2 linked regions of the Lonchura striata genome follow. The protein of the gene in region 2 purifies or fractionates together with the protein of the main gene of each other region. This does not show direct contact. Links are inferred from orthologs where the notes say so. Each region holds a gene or a part of one and is shown on either strand. Other genes may lie near its edges.

Region 1 (11,708 bases), on a different chromosome or scaffold from region 2:
CTCATGCAGCATTTTCCCCTCAATATATTTAAAAATTTTCTTTGTTTTGCTATACTGCTAATCCCTTTTTACAGGTGTAAGCAGAAAGCAGCAATTTGTCTTTATATATTGAATAGTTTACTAGGCAGCTTAGAGGGGCTCTAGAATGTAGATAGCCCTTATTTTACAGAAAGAATATGGTTTAAATGGGAAAAAACCTTTATATTCTCTCCCCATCTCCAAACTCTTCCAGTGTTGGAAAACATTGGTACTTTGCCTGAAACATATACACAACTTACTCTTAAGAAATTAAATTTAATTGCCAATAAAATTGTTCTGTCTTTTGTGAATTGAAAACTTTTTTTCCTCCTTCTGAGCTGTAACACATAGGGTTGGACTGCATCTGGTCCTGGAGGTGTGACACCTATTGAGGAGATCCAAAGAGGTCGTAGTAACAGTCCAGCTTCTGATTTTTGAGAGTAGCTGCTGGTGCTTGCTGCTGCCAGAATGAAGCCCCTGTCAACCCACGGTGACTTACACATATGGACCAACCAGAATGCTTTGTTCATACCTTTGTCCAGTCTAAGGAATTGTTTCCTTCTGTGGTCATGTGGGCTAGAAACTTAAAATGAGGCTGAACTTGACAGTAGAATCTGTCTCCTATGTCACTGCAGCTCTAAAGTCTTCTGGGAAAGAGAACAGTGGGAGTTGACAAGGCTGTGTGTCATGGGCTGCAAGAGGAAGGAGCTAGCAGAAATAAGCAGGTTTGGCTGGTAGCAACAAAGTACCTTGTAAGCACTGTGATTGATATTCATGAACATACTGGTCTTCGTCTTGCATCCAGAAAAGCTGAAATTAATTTCAATAGGTCTCGTTAAACTTAAATGCGTCTCAAGTGTTGGTCATGTGGCATGCATCTTGTTAATGTAGACATTGTTAGGAGAATAATTTTTTCTGTTACTTCTGGAAACTACTGCTGTGATATGTGTCATAGAAATTACCACAGGATACATAGGTGATCTGAGACTAGAAAGAAAATGCTCATGAAGTTTTCAAATTGTTGATTGAATCATGAGTCTCATTTTTAGTCATGGTTCCCATGGGATTTTCCAGCAGTTGGTGATATAAATGTATCATTTCCTTACAGCACCCCATTGCATGCCCTACTCTATACTGCTAAAGAACTTTACAGTAACAGGGGAGGTTGAGCTTGCTGGCATATAAGCCTATCTGTATCTTTTATGCAGGAGCTCTGCAGGAGGTCAGGAAAGCATTTAAACCCCAAATGCATGTGTAATTTTATTGATTTTATTTTTATGAAAGTGTCTGCATTAGTATCAGACTATATTGTTTTTACTGAGGGAATCCAAGTATCTAACTGATGGTTTGGTGGAAGAAGTGTTCATTTGCTCCCAAGAGGCATTTAAAACTTGCTGTTAACTTCACCTAGAGCGAAGTCAGACCTAGAGATGGTTATAATTGAACTGCAAGGACAAGGGCACTCACTCTAAGAGGCTCTTAGGGCTACAGAACTTTCCTATTTTCCTTTCTGTGAAACAAATGTGTACCAGAAGAGGACATGATGGTGTAACAGAGCCCTGTAGGTTCTAGGATCCTCTGACAAAACCTGAAAAAACCTCTGACAAAACCTGAAATCTGAAGATGGTGTAGTATGTGTTGTACAAAACAAGAGGTTAAAACCATTGTCAAATCTGAATTTATATAACAACAAAACAATAGCTCACAAAATGCAAGACTGTAGCACAGATGACAGTATGTAGAGTGCTTTTTGTGGTATCAAGAGTGCATTAGAGACCAGCAAAATTTGCTGAAAAGATATGACAGTTTATCTTACAGGGAAAAAAAATCTGAGCAGGTTTTTTATTTCATTTCAAGGGACTGAAAAATAACTTGTAAGCAATATACCACATTGGTCTATTACTAGTAGTTAAATTTTTATTGCATTACACAAAACCTCTGGGGGTGATACTCTTCCTCATTATGTTTCAGAGAGCTGCTTTGTATTTCTGAAGAGCATGAGTGAGGATTTAATGGAGTCTCTGTGCGATCTAATATAATGTGAAACAAAATGTTAATCAAAGCAACCTGGATGAACAAGAGATCAGTGGCTGTGAAACAAGCAGAGATAGAGGTGCACTTGGGTTGAGTGGAGACTTCTGGGGGGTGGGGAGGGGGTGTTGAAACTGAGGAGTACCTAAAGCAAAGCTGGAGGTTGGCTCCTCTGCTTTTGGGTGGTCATTGTGTTTGAGCTCCCTCCCCTAACTCATCCTTCATTGCTTAGGCCCACCAACAAACAATTTGTCAAGTACATTTAACAAAGAATATAACATATTTTTTGCACATAAGAATGATGCCTTCTACCAGAAGATAATCTCATGCTTCCTGTAACTAATGGCTTATTATGAAAGAGAAGTTGCACAAACCATTAAAGGGAGTGTGTTACAAAACTTTAAATCTTTTACAGTACATTGGTTTTTCACTTTAAATCCTAAATTATTCTTAAAATGTGTAGTTTTGGACCTTCTTTACTGCTTAAAATCTTTTAATAAAAGCCTTTGTTATATATATTCTTTTATACAGCTTGAGTTTTCAGTGTACAAGGCCAAATGCTTATAAAAGAAAGACTGGCTTCAACTCAGTTCAGACCTGGAGATAATTCTGGTTAAAGTTATGATTTTTTTTTTTTTTTATTACTGCACTTCTTGAACCATATAAAATAAGGTCTATGTGTATTACTAAAACAGATTAGGTTTTGTTATAAAATTAATTATCTGAATTTGTATTTTAACTATCCTAGCCTAAAACATATAAAGTAAAAAAAAAAAAAAAAACTGTAGGCAAGTTCCAATATTCCTAAGCTTTGGGTCTATGCTTTAACAAATTTGGACAATAAATTGGAAGCAGAGCAACAAGCAGTAGGAGGTTAGGTGGTGCTGGAGTGGGAAAGGAAAATGAGGTATTAAAAAAATCAGAAAAAAGTAAAAGGAAAGATAAAATTAATAGCACTTATTTCTGGTAAGGAAGATTTGGCCACTGTTCTTTATATCACAGCCCATGAATGCTTGCTTATAGATTAGGTTGCTTTTTTATTAAAATGACCAGAGTGAGTGGTGGAATTTGCAGAATTTTTCAAATGTTTTAAAAGAATTTTTTTTCACTGAAGTAGTTACAATATATAACAAATAAAATGTGTATTTGCTGAGAAAAAATGCCTACCAATAGTTTTCCTTATTATTCCTTTTGCTAAGAGGATAATTTCAGGTGCTGAACACAAGTGCACTAATGTACTCTTGGACTTCAAGTGAAAGGTACCTGCTGGGGAAGAGAATCATCCTCCCCAGCTGAACTTTATGCCATGGAAATGCATACAAAGTGGCAAGAGCAACATTTATCTTCCAGGATTGATTACTAGTAATGCAATTACTAGTAATTTGCAATGTGCTTTCAATATATCCAAGGTGATGTATCTGATTATCATTCTTCTCTCTCAAATTACAAAACACATCAGTCAAAAGCTAACAGGAGCTGGGACATATGGCATCTCAGAGAAGAACAAGCTGCTGGGCTTCCACCACTTAGAAAGATGTGCTTGGCCTGCCTCAGTGCCAGGAGGGGCCACTGAGTCCTGCTGACTTCAGAGCCTGGGAGCTGTGAATTCAGACTTTTTGGGATGCTGTAGCTCCTGTTCTTTCTGCATGTCACAAGTCATCCATGCTGTGTTCTTGGTAGGCCCAAGGGATATAGATTACTGCTACCTTCTGTACTACTCAGCTCTGCTGCAAGTACTAGTGACACATCATGTACAGGGCAGTTGGTTTGGAGCTGCTGTTTCCTTTGAACTGTTTTAATTTTTGAAGTTTAATCAGTATATGGTTGCAATCCTGCATGTTTTTATGCTTATTTAAAATATGTCCCCATACATGCTTTATTTAGTACCCAGTACTAGAGTTTGTATTAAAAAACTTAAATTTTAGACAACATACTCCACAATGATTTTGCTTTTTATTTAATGTATCCCAAGCTTCATGAAAGTTTGTAAATCTGTTTTGTAGTAAGCTTCATACTTTCTGATAAACCCATGTAGCTGCAGTTCTTTGTATTTTTCATCCCACGTGTGATGCAAGATTAAAAGTGACATGATTTCTTTGTTACTGTAAGCAGGCGTTCATACCAAATGAGGTGGTCATCCCCTGTCAGAGTGCTGCCCTTCTACTGCACCATCCCGGGTGCTGGGGCATCTTGCAACTGAGTGGTAAAACAGGTCAGGATTAAATCTAAACAATTTTTCTTGTTGCTAGCTTAGTTGTAACCCAATACAGTTTGCTGTGCAGCCACAGCAATATTTTTATGGGCACAAAGAGGCACAGGGCACAGGTGCGAAAACGAGCAGCTTACAGCAGAAACAGAACCATCTTTCTAAGTCCCACGACTCTCTTATCATGACCTAATCATGAAACTATGGTACTACTTTACTCGAAATTACGCTTATAAATTAGCATCTTGGCAAGCACGTCTGGGTAACATAGTCAGGCTTTTAACTGCTCAAAGAGGATCAGAAACATTTAAAATGCACACGTGATCTTTCCATCAAACCAAACAACAGCAGCCAGAGCCAGTCATAATATTTTATGCTCATAGTAAGGTCAAATCCATCTGAAATTTTAAAAACAAACAAATAAATAAATAAATAAAAAGGGACCTCAGAAGACATAGTCCAAGAGTCTAGAAATTGCTATTCATGACCCAGATTTTCACTGAAGAATTCCTGGAACTCACCTTTGTCCCACTTTTCCCAGATTTTAGCTTCTGCTATGATATTGGGGGTTTTGTTCTTTTTTATCTTAATATTACTACAGATTTCAAAAGTTTGAAATCACAAGAAACTAAAAAAGTGAGTCAAACCTTTGCTGCCTGAGATTGTTCAGCAGCAGAGCATGGAATTAAACCTAGTCTTCAGCTTGGCTGATAACAAAGCAGAGTTCAGTATTTTTTCCAACTCTCCTCCTATTCCGAACCTCGCTAATCACCGAAACGTGCCTCGGAGAGCTGCTGTGCCTGTGCTCAGGGTAGCTTCAGTTTCTGTATCCTTCATTCGGTTGCGACAGTGGGACCAGCCCTTATTCTCTAATACCCGGTTACGCAATCAGATTAAGGAGCCATCTGCAGCACAAACTGAAACTGCTCTATAATCGCGTTCTCGGCTCACGCAGAACTTTGACTTACGCAGGATCTGTGTCTCCTTGAATTATTCACCAGCCTCCCTGCTACTCCTTCAAGCTGGAAACGCACAGCAAGCGATACGGTCAAATATTTCAGTGATTAAATCATTGCGCTTTGAGCACGCTCAGCTCAAATGCCGTTTCTGAGATTTAAAGGAATATCTGCGGTAGTTCAAAGGGAAAGCAAAACCTCTCCCTTCCTTGTGCCTCCTTTGAATGTGCTTGAAAAGACAGTAGATCAGAGCTTGCTGCTTTTGCCACTCTGCTGTCAACAGCTGAATTGTTAAATGATTTAATGCCAACGCATCTCTTGTGTAGCTTTGTAAAGCCTCAAAACTAAAAATACCTGCTTTTGTCAAGTATTCACAGAGTGTCTATTTTACCCAGCCGTGTGCACAGCAAGGTCTTGGTTCATCATTAGCGAAAATAATTCTGCATTCTCAAGGCTTTCCTGTTGCTACAGTCACCTTTACTAACAAAATGTCTTTTTAAATGACAAAACTAGAAACTCGCACTGTACGTCGCCTTTGTCTTCAAAAGGCTTTGCTACAGGAACGCAGGACGGAGCCCTGACTACGTGTGTTGTAAGATCAGCCCTAACAAAGGCCGGAGCTCCGTTTGTTTTCTGCTGAGAGCCGCAGAGCCAGCGGCTGCGCGGCGGCTCCCGGGGAGCTGCCTCCCGCAGGCGGAGGGGCAGGAGCGCTCGGACAGAGCCCGCCCGCCCTCTCCGGGAGCCGCTGCCAGCCGTAGCCGACAGTAGGCGGAAAGTAGGAAGCGAGGCAGGGCAGAAATGTCGAGAGGGAAGGCACGAGACAGACAATCCGGAACCAACAGCCGGAGCAGTGCCGGCTTCGGCTAGAACACTAGAGCGAGAGCAAGTGAACGGGGGGAGCCGCTGCGGCACAGCGAGCCGGCGGCGGAGGCCACCGGGCCCGCGTCGGTAGGAGCGCGGGTACGAGCTCAGTCGTGCCGGCGGCAGCTCCGACCCGTGACACTCTCCGCGGCCGCCCTTCCACATCCCACGGCGGAGCCGCCGGGGAGGCGCGGGAAGGGGGAAAAAGAGAGACTGACGCACGGGGCTTTGCAGCGGGCCCAGCCTGCAGACGGGATGAAAAGGCAGCGGAGCGCGGCGCGGGAAAAAGAAGCGGCTGCGGCAGCGAATGCTGCCCCCGCCGCTGCCTCGGCCGCGCTCCCGCCGCGCGGTGCGGCGGCGGCCGGGCAGGAACTGCGCTTCCCGTGGGGCCGCGCGCGGCAGCCGGCATGCGCGGCGGGCGGGCGGGGCGGGGCGGCAGGTTGCTGTTGTTACATAGGAAACAGCTGAAGAGTCTCCACATGACAGGGGGGGAAGGAGGAAGTGGGGCGGCCCGCGGGGCTCTGCCGCCGCTGCTCCGGTAGTCGCGGTGCTCGGCTGGCGGCTGCTGGCAGGGAGAGTCCTTCCCGCGACGCGTGGGCTGACCGCCCTCGAGGGCGGACTTGCGCCCCGGTGCCGCCGCCGAAGGGAGGCGGGCAGGGAGCGGGGGAGCCCCCCGCCGGGCCGCGGCGCCTCGCCGGGGAAGTTTGGTGCGGGGCGGGATCCCGCCGGCGGCGGCGGTGGCGCCGGGCATGAACGGCTTCGCCCCCGAGGAGGTGACCCAGCGCGGGGCAGACCCCGCCGCCGCGGCGGCGGTGGGCGCTGCGGGCTCCGCCGTGGAGGTGCCGCCGCCGCCGGCGCCGCCGGGGCTGGGTCCGGCCGCCGCCGCCGCGGGCTCGGCGGGCGGCGGGTGCGCGGGCGGCCCCGGGGCCGGGCAGCTGTGCTGCCTGCGGGAGGAGGGGGAGCGATGCGGCCGCGCCGCCGGCAACGCCAGCTTCAGCAAGCGCATCCAGAAGAGCATTTCACAGAAGAAGGTGAAGATCGAGCTGGACAAGAGCGTAAGTCCGCGAGGGGAGGACGCGCCAGGGCTGCCGGCGGGGCGGGCGGACAAAAGCGGCCGGTAGGTCGCCGCATCTGTGTCTTAGCTGGCTGGGGGACTTTTCCTCAAGTTTGGTGGGGAAGGAGGGGAGCGTGGCGGCGGGGAAGCGTTCGTTCCCCCTTCCCACCTCTTTTCCGTAGCACGGCCGAGTTGGGCTGGCGCGGCAGGAGCGCTGCCTGAAAGTCCCTCCGGGCGGGGGGCAGCGCCCGCCTTTCCTGCCTGCTCCTGAGGTCCCCTGTACCCCAAGAGCCTGGGCATCGACTGCGTGTGCCCCCCTGTAGCCGGAGCCGGGGGTAAGCGTGGCCGGGAAGCGCCGCTGCCCGCCGGAGCGGAGCGGAGCCTGCATGGCTCCCGGCGCGCTAGTTTGTGTTGCTGGCGAGGGCCGCGCTCGCCGCCCCGCCTCGTGTTGCAGCGCCGCACGTCTCCGGTGCCGCTTTATCTCCCGCTCGGCAGCCATCGGGCCCCGCGCGGCCGGGCCGGGCCGGGCCGGGGCCGGCCGCCTTCCAGCGCGGTGCTTCGCCCGGGAGCCCGGAGAGCGCCCGCCTCGCCGGGTGCCGCGGAAGGGCGAGACGGGCTGCAGCGTGGAGCTGCCGGCGGGAGCGCCCCGGGCCGGGGCTGCGTGCGCCCCGAGAGACCCGGCCCGGTGCCCCACGCTGCAGCCCGGTGCCCCACGCTGCCCCGCGCTCCCGTTCGCCCTGAAAGCACGCGGACCGGGGCGTTCCGGGCTGGCAGCGCCCGGATCTCCCAAAGCGTGCAGAGCCCCACGAGTGGGAAACTTGTTAAAAAGAAAGAAAGTAAAAATAAGTGTGTTGCGTGACCGTGCCGGGTAGCGGAAGTAAAACAAGGAGGGGAGGATATAGCTGGGGAAACGAGAGCCGTCTCTTAGCCCCGCAGAGAAAGCTGCGAGCTTGTTTTTTGTTAGCGTGCCGCCCGGCCCCCGCGGTGCGATGCGCGGCCGGAGGGAGGGAAGGAGGGAGGGCTGTGCTGCGTGGCTCCACAGCCTGGCACTGCTGCATCGGCCCATTGCAGCATTTCAGCGAGCTCGGGGCCCAGCCGGTGGCGGGGAGCCGCAGCGCAGCTCGCTCTCCATTTACAATAAACCAGTGGAAAAGCTCCCTCAGCCCAGTTAATGTGGCTGTGAGTGCTTAAGGGTTGTCTGTCTACGTGCACTTCAGTCTGGGAGATACACTACGTGGGTTTAATTGAAAGATACCGTTTTATTCTTGTAGGCAAGACATCTGTACATTTGTGACTTCCACAAAAATCTAATTCAGAGTGTGAGAAATAGAAGAAAGAGGAAAGGCAGCGATGATGATGGTGACTCACCAGTGCAAGACATCGATGCTCCAGAGGTAGCTGAACAGTTGGGTTTTTTTTTCAAGTTATTGTCTTAAGCTTCTTAATGACACTGAGTCTGCACCAATACCACTCTTCCACTTCTGCAGCTTTGCCTTACGTGTAGGAAAGAGAAGATTCTTGATTTGCCCTGTTTTTAATATAACGGAATTTAACTGAATTTTTGTGGTGTGTTTTCTGATTAAATGGTGCATAGGACAATGAAAGAGTCTCTAAGTGTCTGATGCTTCTCTCAAAAATCTACTGTTTTAAGATTTCTCTGAGAAATCTACTGTTTTCCTCCTTCTTACTGTTTTGCCACATGCCATCGAACTCTTACCTTTTGCTGAAGCTTACAAGCTGAAGGGAGTTGCACAGAGTGCTTAGGATATAAATGCTTCTCTGTCCTGTCCCTTTTGTGCTAAATGTGTTGCAGGTAGTTCTAGGCAATTGCTCCATTGCCTTAGTCACTTTAAAGACTGAGAGTTTAATGATGGTAGCTTTGTTTCTGCCCACTGTGGGGGGAAGAACCATTTGGAGAGCTCTGCTATGAAGGAGTGGAGAAATACGGTGTCTTTTAAACCTGTTTTCTCCACTGCACACCAGTGAAATCTGACCCATTAACTAAAGCGTTCAACCTTTCTCATAGTGTAATGGGTCGGTCTTGAACATAAGGCTCTCTTTTTCTTACACATGCTCTAGGTTATTTTTGCTACAACGTTGCTTAGCAGGTGCTCCACAATGTGTTAATTTTGAGCAGAGGCTTATTATGCCTACGTGGTTCTTTCTGAGAGGGATTGTTAAAACATTCTTCAGAAATCGCTCTGTAAGTGTTAATGTAATGGCATCCTTATGGTCAGCATCTGCAGATAACAGCAAGTAAGTGAGTAAAGTTTGTGCAGGAATCTGTGCCTTCAGGCACGAGGCTCCAGTCTGAATGTTCTGTCTAAGAGGATTTTAGGAGATTGAAAGTAGTTTGATGCTGAGTGGTGTTGTCTGTCTGTTAAATATCTGTGATTGTTTCTTGGAAAGTTCTGTCTAAAGCTAGTGCTGTGAGTGACTTCAGGTAGCTTTCTGACACTGTGTAATTGCAGCTCTCCTGGGAGCCTGTTTTGTTTTCTTATGCCAGGATTATAAAACATGTCACAACTGATGGATATCTTCAGAACAAGAAAACAAGCCTTTTTTTTTAAACAGTATTATTACAAAAGAGAAAACTGGGAACTGTTTTTGAGAAGCGTCAGCTGGCTGTTTGGACAACGGCAGTCTGTTCTTTCCTTGTAATTACTGTGTGCCTTAGATACTTGCTTGCTCTTGACCACCTTTATTTTCAATTGTTACCCATTTTGCTAAAGAAAAAAGTATCATTCTTCTGAAGAGTTGTAAGGCTCTCCTGCTCCATCTCAGTCGTGGCTCTCTTTAGGTTGGAAACGATTCCTACAGGAGGAAAAGAAACTCCTGCAGTCCTGGTAGTTTCTGGAGCTTGCTGAGAAGCTGCTGCTCCTCCATGATGCTGCAAGGGTGGCTTCCCCACTGTGGCTTGGGAAGTGTAATTTAATGCCATGTAAACTTTAGAAACACCAAAGGATACCATCCTTTATTATGCAAGGTGGCCTCACTTCGAGTCTGGCCAGGTTGCCAAGTGTGCAGTAGCAACTGCTGTTTTTAAGTGTTCTGCAGTGAGGCTGTTAAATGAATATAAAGCAAAAGTGAATGCCTTCATCAATCTTTAATGCAGCGAATTTGGAGAATACTATTGTAATTGCAACTGACCTAATAGAATTTCTCATTCAGCCTGCTTTCTGAGCTTGCTCTCCCACTCAGTCATCTGATTAAGCTCTCTTAGGTTGTCAGGGAGGATGGGAAGGGTAAGCTGTTGCTGGGAGAAGTGGCTGATCAGAGTACATAGGATTCAAAACTGACGGAGTACTGGATTAAGGCTGTGTATTTGTATCCCTGAGAGGACTTTGTGTAATTCTCTCAACAGGTGAATGACATTGAGAAAGAATTTTGGACATTTATGCCCATGCACATAACTCCTGCATAATTCTTGTGTAGCAAGGATACATTTGGAAAGCAAGAGCAGTTCTTTTCTTTTCTCACCTCAAATCAAGAATGTTTGTGCTCTAGACTCTGTCCTGATTCTAATATGTGCTCTTTCATGGTGCATGGTGTCTTGTATGTAATCTACATAAGATGTAATGGCTGAAATTACAATATAGGGGCCTCCTTTGGATCAGCATCTTTATAGATGTTATGTGATAGTTGCTATTTGGCTTGGTGTTATGCTGGAACTGAGAAGCAAACAAAAAATCCAGAATGGATGCAAGTACAATAGTGAGTTCAAAATAATGTCCACAGCTAAAGGGAGGTAGAAGCATGCTCAGTAACAGCAAAACACTCTTTAAACTGAGCTGGGCTATTTTCCTGTCTGCTAGAAGGTTTGTTTTTTGTCAAAATGACATCTGCTGAGCTGACTGTTTACACTTGCATATCTGTGAGTTTCCAAAATGTTTTTGTGAGACAAACTATTAATGACTGAATTTTTTTCAGTTATATTAGATTGTTTTCTTCCCCTTCCCCCTCTTTTCTTCTAGGTTGATTTATATCAGTTACAAGTAAACACACTTCGAAGGTACAAAAGACACTTCAAGCTACAGACCAGACCGGGTCTTAACAAAGCACAGCTTGTTGAAGTATGTATGAGTGTTTCCCATAATAGAAAATGCAACTTGCTGTGGCATGTCGTTTTCTTTACACTGTGATCCTTGCATAAAGTGCCTATATAATCTGGATTTTAGGAGAACAAAAGGGAGCTGCTTATCTAGCTTCCTTCGTTGGCCACAGCTCCTGAGCCAAGTAAATGAAAAGTAAAAGCTCTTTCCAGAGGAGGGACTCTTAACTTCCAAAACGAGTGTGTGCTGCTTTTAAACAGTGTTGAGCTGGAACAGTAAGATGATCTTCATGCCCCTGAATATCATAGAATCATGGATTTATTTTGTCTGTGGATCAATCACAGCTTCACCAGAAATGTCCTACTGAAAAGAACTAGAAACTGAGAGGTGTCAGTGAAGTTCTGGTGAGGTTCAGACTTTGCTTTAAACACCTAGTTACTGTAAACATAGGTTTCTGTATGTGTAAAGTACAGAAACCTGAAGAAAGTGCTTCTATTGATAATTATGTTAAAACCACTGGAATCTGCTGT
Region 2 (11,998 bases):
AGAAAATGGTTGCACCAGGGGAGGCTTAGATAGGATATTAGAAAAAATTTATTCTGTTTAAGCATTGGAACAGGCTGCCAAAGAAAACGGTGGAATTCTTAAAAGTGTGAAAAAATATGCACAGATGTGGTGCTTAGAGACATAGGTAAATGGTTAGACTTCATGATTTTAGGTCTTTTCCAACTTTAATGATTCTATGATACAAATGACAGGCTGTAATACAAATGACAATCACTTTTGAATAACTGTGGCTATTAAGCTTATCTCTTCTTTTAAGTAGGTTTTTACTAGCTACTTATGTAGGTATTATGGCAGACAGAGATAACAGTATTTTAATTTTCTCATGTACTGGTACCTGGTTTGCAGCAATCAAAAGAAACTTTCATTGGTACCAACTATATAAACTGCTGCAGTAAAAAAAAAAAAAAAACAATCTAATTCCTTACTTAGCAAAGACAATGTACTTCAGTCTGTCCCACATATATAAAAGTATGAGAATTATACAGAATGAATAAGTAATTAAACAAAATCTCAAATTTCCCTAAAATCCCAATTCCTTCGTTCTACTAGGGAGTTTCATGCAACAGACCCAGACTAGCTCTTCACAGGAACAACATTTCAAACCATCCTTACAGTAAAACAAAAAATACATGAATACACAGAAGCATTCTAGAGCATCTGCCCGCAAGTAATTTCAGAATTTCCAGTCCTTACTCTTCTCCAAAAGCAGCATCCACATGCTACTTTTGGAGAAAGACAAGAAACACCAGATGCATACAGTATTTTCATGGAATGGATCCTCAAACGAGGCACTCAAAACATTAAAATACTTACTGATCTTTAAGGTCTGTAAATTGTTTTTCAAGATTGGACATTTCATCTAAACATTCCATTCTTCTTCTTTCACAGTCTTCATCATCCATTTCTAAGAATAATTAAAAAAAATTATGTAATATAAACCAAATAAACTGGATATTTTGTTTCTAGTGAATGAAGGGGCAGGGTGCCTGAATTATAGCCATGAACAGTTTTCCTCTTATATTATTGTCATAAAGCATAATATGAGAAATCACTTGGCATATAAACTACAAAGAAAGAAACCTAGACCTAATTCCAGAATGAATGCAATAAACAGCAATTCTTCTTCCTCAAAACAGGAAATAACAGCACTGTAAGACCTCAAGAGGGTAATTTCATGACTGAAATACAAAGAATACATAAGAATGCATGAAACAGAAAAACTAAACTATGTATATCACACCAAATTAAAGACAACATTAAGCATGAGCAGTTATAAGCCACCACTGAAAATTCAAGTGTATCTTGGGTCAGTACAAACAAAAGCAATCCCTGGAATGCAAGCACAGTCCAGTGTTACATTTGTCTGATAAAATTCAAGATTTGTTTTATTCATATTCCTAAAAGGAAAAGTAACATATAATTTTGAAACAAGTTTCAACCTGTCCAAATTGAAGACTTATTTGAAGTTGAAATATTAATGTAAAAATATCTGCAGTTCATTTTAATGAGCATTTGAAATCACTCCAATGAAACATTTCTTAACCTGAGAAGTCTAGAACACTGCACTTGACTTTATATGCTTTTATGCAGTAAGAGCAGTTTGTGTAAACTCTTTTCACAGATTTATTTATATTCCTGATTCTTTTTCGTGGACCTAGGGAAGATAAAACAACATAAACACAAAATTTTTTGCCAAATCTTTGACACTGCCATTGAGACATCCAATGTTACTAAACGTCCGTTGTTACCTCCATTGGCCTTCCTTAGACTAGAAAACTGAGAAACTAAGATAGAAAATTCTTGACTTTCCCAGCCTTCCCAGAAAAAAAAAAAAAGAAAAAAGGTTTTGTTAAGGCATATTCCAAAGTCAGATAAGTGAAACTGCTTTATAACAGCAGTATCTGCAAGAATTAGCCCTCTACAGTTACACTACAGCTGACCACTATCAACCAGTAGCAGGCATGCAGAAGGGATGGCCATGCACTCAGGAGCTGTAACTGAACTAGCCAGATGCTTGAGAGAAGGCACTGTCCTAAGGAACCCTTACTTATGTAAGCACTTTGGCAAGAAAAATCCTACCTCCTGACAGAGAGGAAAAGTAGGATCCTGAACCCAGCAGGGATCATTTTTTTAGCCTATAAACAACTCTGAGCTTTTTGTTTCTGCCTCATTTTTCCAACGAACATGTTCAACTGCTTTATGCTGTCTCCTACACCAACTACAGAATGCAGCATTCTTTATTCTTATTGTTTTGCAAACCAGTATGGCAATTTGTAAAGCTGATGAGGTGAAAGGAGTAGCTTCAGGCCCACTTGCTACTTGGAAAGATCTGATTAAATCAGATTGTCTACTCAGACCTCTCAGCACTCAACTTCTTCCTGAAATCATCACAAGCTTTTAAGACTAAAAAACTATACTAACCTTCGCTGCCTGGACAGGAAAACCAGCAGTCAGCACAGCAATACCAATAAGTATTACAATGGCAAACTATGAGTCCCAATTAAAGACCTAGTACTGTTATTACAGTCAAAAAGGAAGTTTTAAAACACAATATAACCTGAAGTATTTGAAAGCAGAGCAAGAAAATTTGAGACAGAGCTTAAAAAAATGCAATGAATGGGGAGAGTGGGAGAAGAACAATCAGGCCATTAAGAGATACTATTTATATTAAAATATTGTTCTCAAAAGTAAGGCAAAACCGTAATCCCAGAATAAGGCTGAAAATCACATGAAAGAACAAAGTTTTATGTGACTGTTTGACACAATATCCACAACAAAATCAATGTAGTGATTTATAATTTGGGCAGATTTAAAGAATGTGGCAATCGTATTATCCAGAGTTGCCCAAAGCATTTCTGTGCTACAAAAATGAAGCCTCTTTAAAATGTGAAGGCACTTCCCAGTGAAACTAAACAGGAACAAGCACTGGCATACCAACAGTTTTTCCCCTTTATTCTCAAATATGTTTCAAATGTGTTCTTCTATGTTTTTAATTCTAAGTATGTTTTAGTAAGTTCACTCAAAAGCTCTTCTTAAATTAACACGGATGTTATTGTTTGTGTATGTTTAGAGAGTAAAAAGCAAAGAAAACTAGAACTGTAATCCTGGATGAGGATCAGAGCACACCCACTGTTGGAGGGGAAAGGGACTGCATCTTAAATTTTTAACTTGTGTTGCAAGGAAATTGATATTCACTGGTATCTGAGGGTATAGCTGACTTCCTTGTAGATAAAAAAAACCACAGCTACCTCCAATCTCCTCTCAGCTACAAATACTTTGACTTTCTGCCTAGAAGTCTTCAATTCTCCCTTATCATTCATACTAAATGGTAATTCACATGCCAAGTTGCTTTTCAATGTTATCATCTGTATTCTTCCTTCAATAAGATTCATAAAATGGTGAAGATTTTCAGAGTCCTGAAATATATTTAATTCCCCATTTATGGAATTTCTTCCTCATGGTCTTAAACAACACACAAACTATGGAATATGAATTACTGAAAACATAAAATGTTGTAAAATCAAATCTCATGGCTTTCCAATTGAAAATTTACATCACAGGAGATGGAGGATTGCTCATTCCATATTAAAACAGTTGCTAATAGGCCTGACCTGTCTCAAAACTTCAGATTTACCATACAGTTTCATACTGCAAAAAGTATTTAGGGCATTTAAAAACACTTTCAAAATCCCAGTTGTTTTCTCCTACTATACTCAAGCAGTCTAACACAGCAATTAGGGCAACACGGTTTAAAGATAAAAAAATCCACACAGCACTTAAAATGTAACAGCTTTTTTTAATAAGATGTGGCCTATATAAAGTGCTTAAAAAATGGCCAAATTCTCCTCTGGGATAGCAAGCATAACTTGTGGCTTTTTAAATTCATCCCGTATCAACTATTCCATATTCAAGTCAATAAAACACCTGTACTAAATACATAACATCAAAACTAACAATATAGAAAGAGTGACAGCTCTCAAGGACGGTCATGCTTCCTCTAACAGCACCTTTTGTGCAAGTAAAGCAAATTACAAATTTGACAAAAAATTAATTACTAATTTCAATTGAGACTTATTTCTTGGGGTGCTAATCATTTTAAGTCTGTAGGAATAAAAAGCTTACAAGGAGTATGTTGATATTAGTCAAGACACTGAGACAACCATGTAATTTTTTGTCATCATCAAACTTTAAGTACTCCCTTAAGAGCAAGTCTCTGTGGAATGCAACAAAAATTATCTGGAGAGCTTCTGGTGTTGTTCTAAAGAAAAATGAACAGACTACATCCACTTAAAACACACTTACTTCTTCCTAATCCCAGACTCTCAGGCACACAGTGTGATTCTTGGGGTGTTCTGTGCAGAGTCAGGAGTTGGTCTTAATGATCTTTCTGGGTCCCTTCCAACTCAGCATATTCTATGGTTTTAATCTGATGATATAGGGGCCTCAGCACTAAATCACTTAAGCTGCCAGAACCACATGTCAGGACTAGGACTGGCCCAAGTCCACATCGACATCAGGACTTTTCTCAATTCACTAACCCTGTCCAACTTCTTTTCCATCCACTGTCTTGTATGTCATCACTAATCCTACCAGTTATCACCTGGAAACATGTTTTAAGATCAAACACAGAAAGTAGTAATTAGAAGGAAACTTAGAACAGCTAATAATAACCTTCTTAATAACAAGTGTAAATGAAACATAGAAAAAGTGATCCATTTAAAGCTAGATTTCAGCTACTAACGTAATTCAAAATCTACAGTCCAGATGGAAAGTATGGAAATAAGAAGGGAAGCTCAACTGAGCAGAGGCTGAAGTGCTCTGCAAAAGAGGGCAGTGGTATTAACAGGCTTCCAATATCCCCCCCAAAGACAGTTCTTAAAACACCTAGTTGAACTTCGTGAGCTTGCATGGAAATACGTACTTACACACGTGTTCATGCATGCACACGTATGTATATAAGCCCTTAAGTGGAGACCTCAGCGAGGACGCACTCAAGGCCAACAGGGCACAACCCACGCTCCTCCAGCGAGCGGAGGAGCGCGGCCCAGGCCGCCATGGCCGCGTACCCGCCCGCTCCGGAGCCGGGGCTCGGGGCGCAGCGGGGCCCGCTGCCCGTGCGCCCCGCCCCGCTCCTGCGCCCTGGCCGGCCGCCCGGAGAAGAGCCGCTGAAGCAGAGGCTGGGCCGGGGCGGGGTCACGGGGGGAGGGGAAGGAGGGGGCACACCGACAGCAGCAGAGCCGGGCGGAACCGGTGTGTCCCCGGGGCGGCACCGAGCGCTGAGGAGCCGCCGCGGCGCCTTCTCAGCGGCGCTGCCTTGCGGGCGGCTGCGCTACCTGAGCTGTCCCCCTCCTCGGAGACGGACGAGCTCTCGGTCTCCTCCTCCTCAGAGCTGCTGCCCTCGTTCTCTCCGTAGTCCACCTCCATCTCATCGTGATTATTCTCCTTCTTCTCCCGGGAATGCACCGGCATCGTCCCCGCCGCTGCTGTGGAACCCCAAGCCCGCCCTTCCCGCCGCCGCTCCGCCGCTGCCACCGGCCGCTCCGCCCCGCCCGGTGCCTGCGCGCCCGCCCATTGGCCAAGTCCCGCCGCCGTCTGGCGTCACCACGCGCGCGGCGTTCTGGGAATTGTGGTCCGCCCTGAGAGGGCCGGAAGGGCGCTGTGCGGGGCCGGGTGCGTAGCGGCGGCTTTTCGCGCCCCTCTCCTGTCCCGGGACACGCACGGGACTGCTCGGTGCCGAGAGAGGCTTCATCGCGGCCAGGCAGAGTCTCGTACCTGCCCGCGTCTCCCGCAGGACGCCGAGCGAGGCCGTGGCCCTGTGTGGTGGGGGTTCGATCGTGGCCGTTCCCTGCCTCACGTGTGGCCCCACCACTCTCCTGCCGAGGAGTTCTGCATGCTGGCAAGATGTCCCTTATGACTCGGATCTCAGAGGGGAGAGGTCCTTGTGTTATTGAGGGGAAATTCTTTACTGTGAAAGTGGTGAGGAAAAGGTTGCCCAGAGAAGCTGTGGATACCCCATCCCTGGAGGTGTTCCAGGAGCTTTTGGAACAAGATGATCTTTAAGGTGCCTTCCAATTCAAGCCATTTTATGATTCTATGAATAGTGGCCTCCTCAGCAGAACTTGCTACTTCCCCAGTGTCTTATGTTGTCCTGTACGTGTGATATGCTTTAAAGTCAGACTTAACTGGAAGTGGCAGCGGTCCACTGGAGTGGATATGAGAACTGACTAAAGAGACAATCTGCAATCTGTGCAGGTTTGGGATAATTTTTTTGGCTTTGAGTATCAGTACTTATCTGTTCATTGACCAATTGCTGTTAATTGCGGTACATAAGATGTACTGAATAGAAGTGACACTTTCTGGAAAAAGCTGTCTGAACTGTCCTGTTGCTGTGAGGGACTGATTAGCTTCACCTCAGGACCTTGGCACAAGGGAGTCCGGCAGGGATCCTCAAGAGTCCTGAAATACAGAGCTGGTTGTGGCCTGCAGGGCATGTGGGTGATAGCTTTGGGCCGAAGGTGAGCTCACTTGTACTGCACAGGCTCACTCTTGATATCTGGGCCAGCTGAAAGAGCAGTAGAAAAGCACAGTGTGTCTCAGTGATGTGATGTGCCACTTCAAAGGAGTTAAAAGTTGTGTGTGCCTGGCAGGTGCAGTTCTTCATGTTGAAGTCCAAATTTAGTTCCTCTCAGCTGTCTGGATGGATATTATGGAGGCTATATTGTGAGGCAGTTAACTTCTGTGTTTCCCTATGGATTTCCACCTCCACAGCAATAGCTGCCCACCTCAACCACAATAACCACTGCTGTACATTACTCACTTCTTTTCTCCCACATCTCTGTATATCCAATGCAAGTAATTTCCCTGTATCTCCCCAAAGAGGAGTGTATGTAGGTGTGCCACCTCTTCTCCAAGAGCAGTGAGAGAAAAATTAGGCATAACTAACCTCCCACCCTTCGGTGTGCAAACTCCATCCCTTCTCTTCTTGCTGTCTCTGGCTTTTTAATCACAAATGGACGCAGCACCACTTGGCATCCTTTCTCCATACCCATTACGATTTTCATCTTTTCTTTATAGATTCATAGAATGGTTTCAGATGGAAACAGCTTCTCTGGATAAGCCACTCCAGTTCCCCATCACCTTCACAGTAAAGAATGTCTTCCTAACATCTAATACAAACCTACGACTTGTAAAATAACTGTAGCCCGCGTGGGAATCCTGAGTGCTTTCCTAGATCCGCCGCCATCCCTTCCTCCCGCCTGCCAACCTCGCTGCGCTCCGGGCTCCCGGCACCGCCGGCCGTGCGGGGCGGGGCGAGCTCCGGCCGGCCGGACCTCGGCATAAGGGGCCGGGCTGGCCTGGCCCAGCGTTTTTAAACGTGGCTCTGGCTGTTTAACGGAGCAACAGCAGCTGAACTTTTGTCCCCAGGTTTTTGCCAGGAAACTTGTGAGTCCCCGAAGCCTGGCCAAGTGCAGGTTCACATAGCTTTAAAAACCGACCAAAGTAGTTACCAAGGTACTTTTTTTTTTTTTTTCTCCAATCTGGTATTCTTTTGAGGGAGCCTGGTTAAAGTGTTAAACTGGTAGTCAAATGGCTGAAAGGAGCTAGGAGATGGCCTGGAACAACATCAGGAGACATTCCAGAAGAAAACCTAGAAATTTCATCAGTTGGATCTGAATTTTCTTTCAAGATATCCATAGGGATTCAGAAAGGGAAAAAAAAAAAATCACAAAAAAACCCACAAAACACAAAACCAGAAGTAAAAATGTCTAACAATCCCCAATTCAAGTGTTTCCTTTTGGATTAGGAAGATAAAAAGACTAGAAATCAAAGGTTCTGGACTAGGAAAAAAAAAAACAAAAACAAAAACAAAAACAAAACAAAACTACTGGAAATAGTTGCAGGGAAAGGAATGGCAGGAAAACAGGAAACCTTTGGCTTGATTGTTATTTCCTATTCAAACAGTTGGAACAAAGTCTAAAGGAGCTAAAAATAAACCCCAGAAGGAAATCAAAATTTTCATGCCCTGGTTGAAATAAGCAACCAAGATAAGGAGTTAAGACAGAAACTTTTTTTTAACAACACACAACTCCACATGGTTCTATTCTGTTTATAGCCAGGAGAGGGGGGGATTACCCAGCTAAAGCAATCTGTTGTGTGGAGGAAAAAAAAAAAGTACTGGTTGAAGTTAACTTGTCTGTCCAAATGAAGTGCTAGAAAACATAAGAGCAAAGGGTACTTCTGGGCACTACATATGGGCACAAGGCTTATGACAGCTTACAGTTTATTTCCAGACTATAAAGCTAATTTATCAGATCACTTATAAGCCCTTAACATATAAAGTGACAGCACCTATCTTAATCAGATCTCTAGAGGCAAATGCTAGAAGAGGTGGGGAAAGATGAAATTCTACGTGGTCTGTTAGAGGACTTGCAAAGATTTTTGTTTAGTGTGTATAAATACATTTATGAATCCAGCCAACTACCAGAGCACCAGTCTCTGGAATGACCATTTCATCAATATAAGCAAATGCAAGTGTTATGTGTCTATAAAGGTGTGATTTTTTTTTTTTTCTGGATCATGACTTATGCCCTTCATTAGAGTAAAATAACTATTAAGAAGGTGATTGTCATAATCCTCATCTGCTCAGATCTGCATTTAATGGAGAGGTGGGTATTAACAGTTTGGGGGTGGGGGGGCGCGGTTTGTGGTATTTTCCAAAAATCAGAAAGATACCATTAACAGGGATAACTGGCAACCATATAAAAATTAAATCTGGAAAACTAGCATTGAAAAAAATTGGATGCAATAACAATTACTATAAATAAAATGTTGGCTAGTACAGATGTTGGTATCTCCTTTCCCAGTTTTAGACACCTTTAGAAAAAGCTAGGGAGGAAAGCTGTAATTTTACACCTAATTTATGGAATGGAGGCGGTGAGTATGTATCACTTTAGACTCTGAAATGCAGATCCTGACTTTCTGATTATAAACCTGATTGCCAGCTTTTGTTGTAGTGAGTAGTTGCATAGTAACTAAGTATTTCTGACAAGAAGGAGATTGTAAAGGGAGAAACCAGAAATATATATATATAATGTGAGTCATTAGGATACTGGTATAGATGAAACCTTGAAGGAGAAGCAGGGATGAAAGAAATTTTACCATGTGTGCAATATAGTGCACTATATCTTAATGAGTTGAAAATAACTTCTCATTTGGAGTCTCTCCCATCTCAAAGATGTAGCATTTTGGACTGGTAGTCTTGGACTGGTCATCAATCACAAGTCTGGATGTTGGGGTGAGGTCCTCCAAAGGTGCCAAAGAGCAACCTATTAGCCAAAAAGAAGTGGTTGCCCTGGGGTCTCTAGATTCTAGCAAACAAAATTATTTCACTTTCTATCACTAAAAAAATATACTCTGGATACTTTATTAAATCTAATTCTTCACCCTCAATTTGAAAGTGCAATATTAGGAGGTAGGTCACAAGAGCTCTGAAAAGACTATTTGCATGCAAGTCAAGATCAGCAGCAATTTAAAGCAGCAGTCATGGAGTACCAGTTATGAGCTGTGTTTGAAGGCTATTGGATGAAGTTCATTCCTCTGATCATGGGGGTTTTTTAAGCAAAATACTTTGATACATGCTGCAAAAGGTGTAAAGTTTTACCAATCAAAATAAATGCAAAGAGATATGACCTATTTCCAAAATATCCATTTTCCTCCTGTGGGTGACATAACAGGAGAGATTGGGGCAAAATGTTTCCTTTGATAGAACAGAATTCTGTACAAAATTCTCTCTCCCCTAGGGGCTGGCAGACATGCACAGGGTTTCTTTTGTGCATTTGTCAATATTGCAAAGCTATTTCAGAAGTTGGGAAAGAAAAATAAAACATCTTGGTGGTTGCGTGTTACTTTTGGTTAAAAGAAAAGTTGTTGCAACTTCCACTGTATCAGAGTATTCACATTTCAAAAGCTCTTTCCTATCAGATATGGGTGCTAGTGCTTACATTAGAACTCAAACATTGTGATTTGGAGGTGACTTTTAAATAACTTCCACGTGTATGAAAGTTTCTGGTTGTGACAGGACCTTTACACTTTCTGTTCTTTGAACATGGCTGACACAATCCTAGCATGCTAAGGAAACAAAACTTAGGTAATGGTTGTCTGTTGGTTTTGGTGGTTTATTTGGTTGGTATGAGGTTTGTTGATTTTTTTTTTTTTTTCAATTGCACTCTCCCTGCTACTTTTGAAGCCATTGTCTGATTTTGATCTTATATTACATGAGAGCATGAGTATTAAAGATACCAAGTTTCTTCATGTCCTGCGAAACAGCATTTGGAACAAAACCTAGTAATGTCCCAGAGAGGGATATGTGTTCACTTAGCTTTTGTCCAAGGGACAGTGTCTTGTTTTGCAAAGACAGTTGTCTGCTAAGGAAGGCAGGAGCCTCTCTTGGAATGGAAAATGTAAACCCCCTCCCTCCAAATTAGAATTGTGAAGTTAAGGGACTCTCAGGCAAAGATATAGGAATAGGAATAACAGTTCTTTACTAGGAAAATTAAAATAATAATGCAGTAATACAAAAAAAAACCCAAAAAAAAACCACACCACTGACAGAGTCAGAATACAACCTGACACCCTATTGATCAGGGTGCTGGCAGCAGTCTCATTAAATGGTGGCTGCAGTCCTCCTGGAGTGACAGACATGGTTCTGTTGAAGCAGTGGTCCTGTAGAAGGCATAGTTTACCTCTGAAGGTCCAGTGCTGGTGTAGATGGGCCTGGTCTTCCTCTGGGAATCTGATGGAAAAAAGTCCTCCTGGTGTTCCAAATCTCAGATTTTTATCTAGGTAGGAATGTTTGGCTTCTCCCCCTGGGCAGAGCTTCTCACAATGGGATGATGTAATTTCATCAGTCATGCCTGAGACTCAATGGCCCTTTGACAGAAGGTCTCTCCCTGGACTGAGGATGGGATAAACTACACATATAGTTTAAGACTTAACTGAAGTCCAGCCTCTTGCTCATCCTGAACAGGTAGGGGAGGACTAAACAAAGAAAGGGTTATGGTTGTGAAGGGAGGTAAGTCATGGCTTTCAGTGGCTAGAATACAAATTTGGAGGAAATCTGGCTTCATGAGTTCTGTAGTTCTTGGAAAAATTTATTCAAACTTGTGATCTTCAGTGCTTGGAAAGACTGCAGTGTTATGTCTTTGTATAACACAGAGGTATTAATGCTGATACACTGCTAACGACATAAAAGCAGAGTATAAACTCTGAAAAGCTCCTTCCCTTAAACACAGAAGTACATAAATTCCAGATTTTATCTGTGAGATACAGAGTTCTGCAAATGCAGTGGGAAATCATGGGAACCATCATCTTAATAGTAAGAGGATTTTGTTGAAGGGATAGCTAGCTGTTCCATTATTATTACACTAGAAAAATACTAGAGGATCCTGATATTTGACTGCTTAGGTGAAAGTAGCAAAATCTCTAATATCAATATGTTACACTAGTATTAAATTGTACAGAGCTGTGGTTTTGGCTACTCAAATTTAAATATCTAGTTTTGGGGGCCTTTTTCATAAAGTAAATTAAATAAAAATTTATTATGTACAATGAACAGGAATACTGCTGCACGGACAAAGCCACATACTCATAGGTCCACAGCACAATTTAAAGAGCCTTCTTTCTCAAAAGCAAGACAACCCTCATAGGAAGGACACTGTGAATCTAAATATGAAAAGATCAGAAGCAGTGACACCTTTAAAAAAATCTTTTAAATTTATTCTTCTCTTGAAGGACCATGTGGGCAAATAGCTCTTCAGTGCATACACCTCAAAGGTTTAAGATCTATACTAGTAACCCAAAAGATGGGAAATACTAACAATCTGAGTAATTTTAACTCACTTTTAATCACATACCCTTAACATAAATATTAGTAAGGCAAGAATTCCAGAAACTTAGATATCTGTAGGTGTATCCAAGA

Evidence for each region.
Region 1: the proteins of BRMS1L (region 2) and SAP30 purify together in Homo sapiens (affinity purification with mass spectrometry; 4 studies listed by BioGRID and IntAct, with this or other methods). This does not show direct contact. The link is inferred for Lonchura striata from reciprocal best matches to the Homo sapiens genes BRMS1L and SAP30.

What each region holds. Positions count from the first base shown.
Region 1 is NC_134606.1:36,158,246-36,169,953, reverse strand, and holds the start of SAP30 (histone deacetylase complex subunit SAP30), read left to right. Parts: upstream 1-6,821; coding exon 6,822-7,127; intron 7,128-8,397; coding exon 8,398-8,520; intron 8,521-11,100; coding exon 11,101-11,199; intron 11,200-11,708. UniProt on the Homo sapiens protein: Involved in the functional recruitment of the Sin3-histone deacetylase complex (HDAC) to a specific subset of N-CoR corepressor complexes. Capable of transcription repression by N-CoR.
Region 2 is NC_134608.1:25,087,385-25,099,382, forward strand, and holds the start of BRMS1L (breast cancer metastasis-suppressor 1-like protein), read right to left. Parts: upstream 5,595-11,998; 5' UTR 5,491-5,594; coding exon 5,355-5,490; intron 926-5,354; coding exon 835-925; intron 1-834. UniProt on the Homo sapiens protein: Involved in the histone deacetylase (HDAC1)-dependent transcriptional repression activity. When overexpressed in lung cancer cell line that lacks p53/TP53 expression, inhibits cell growth.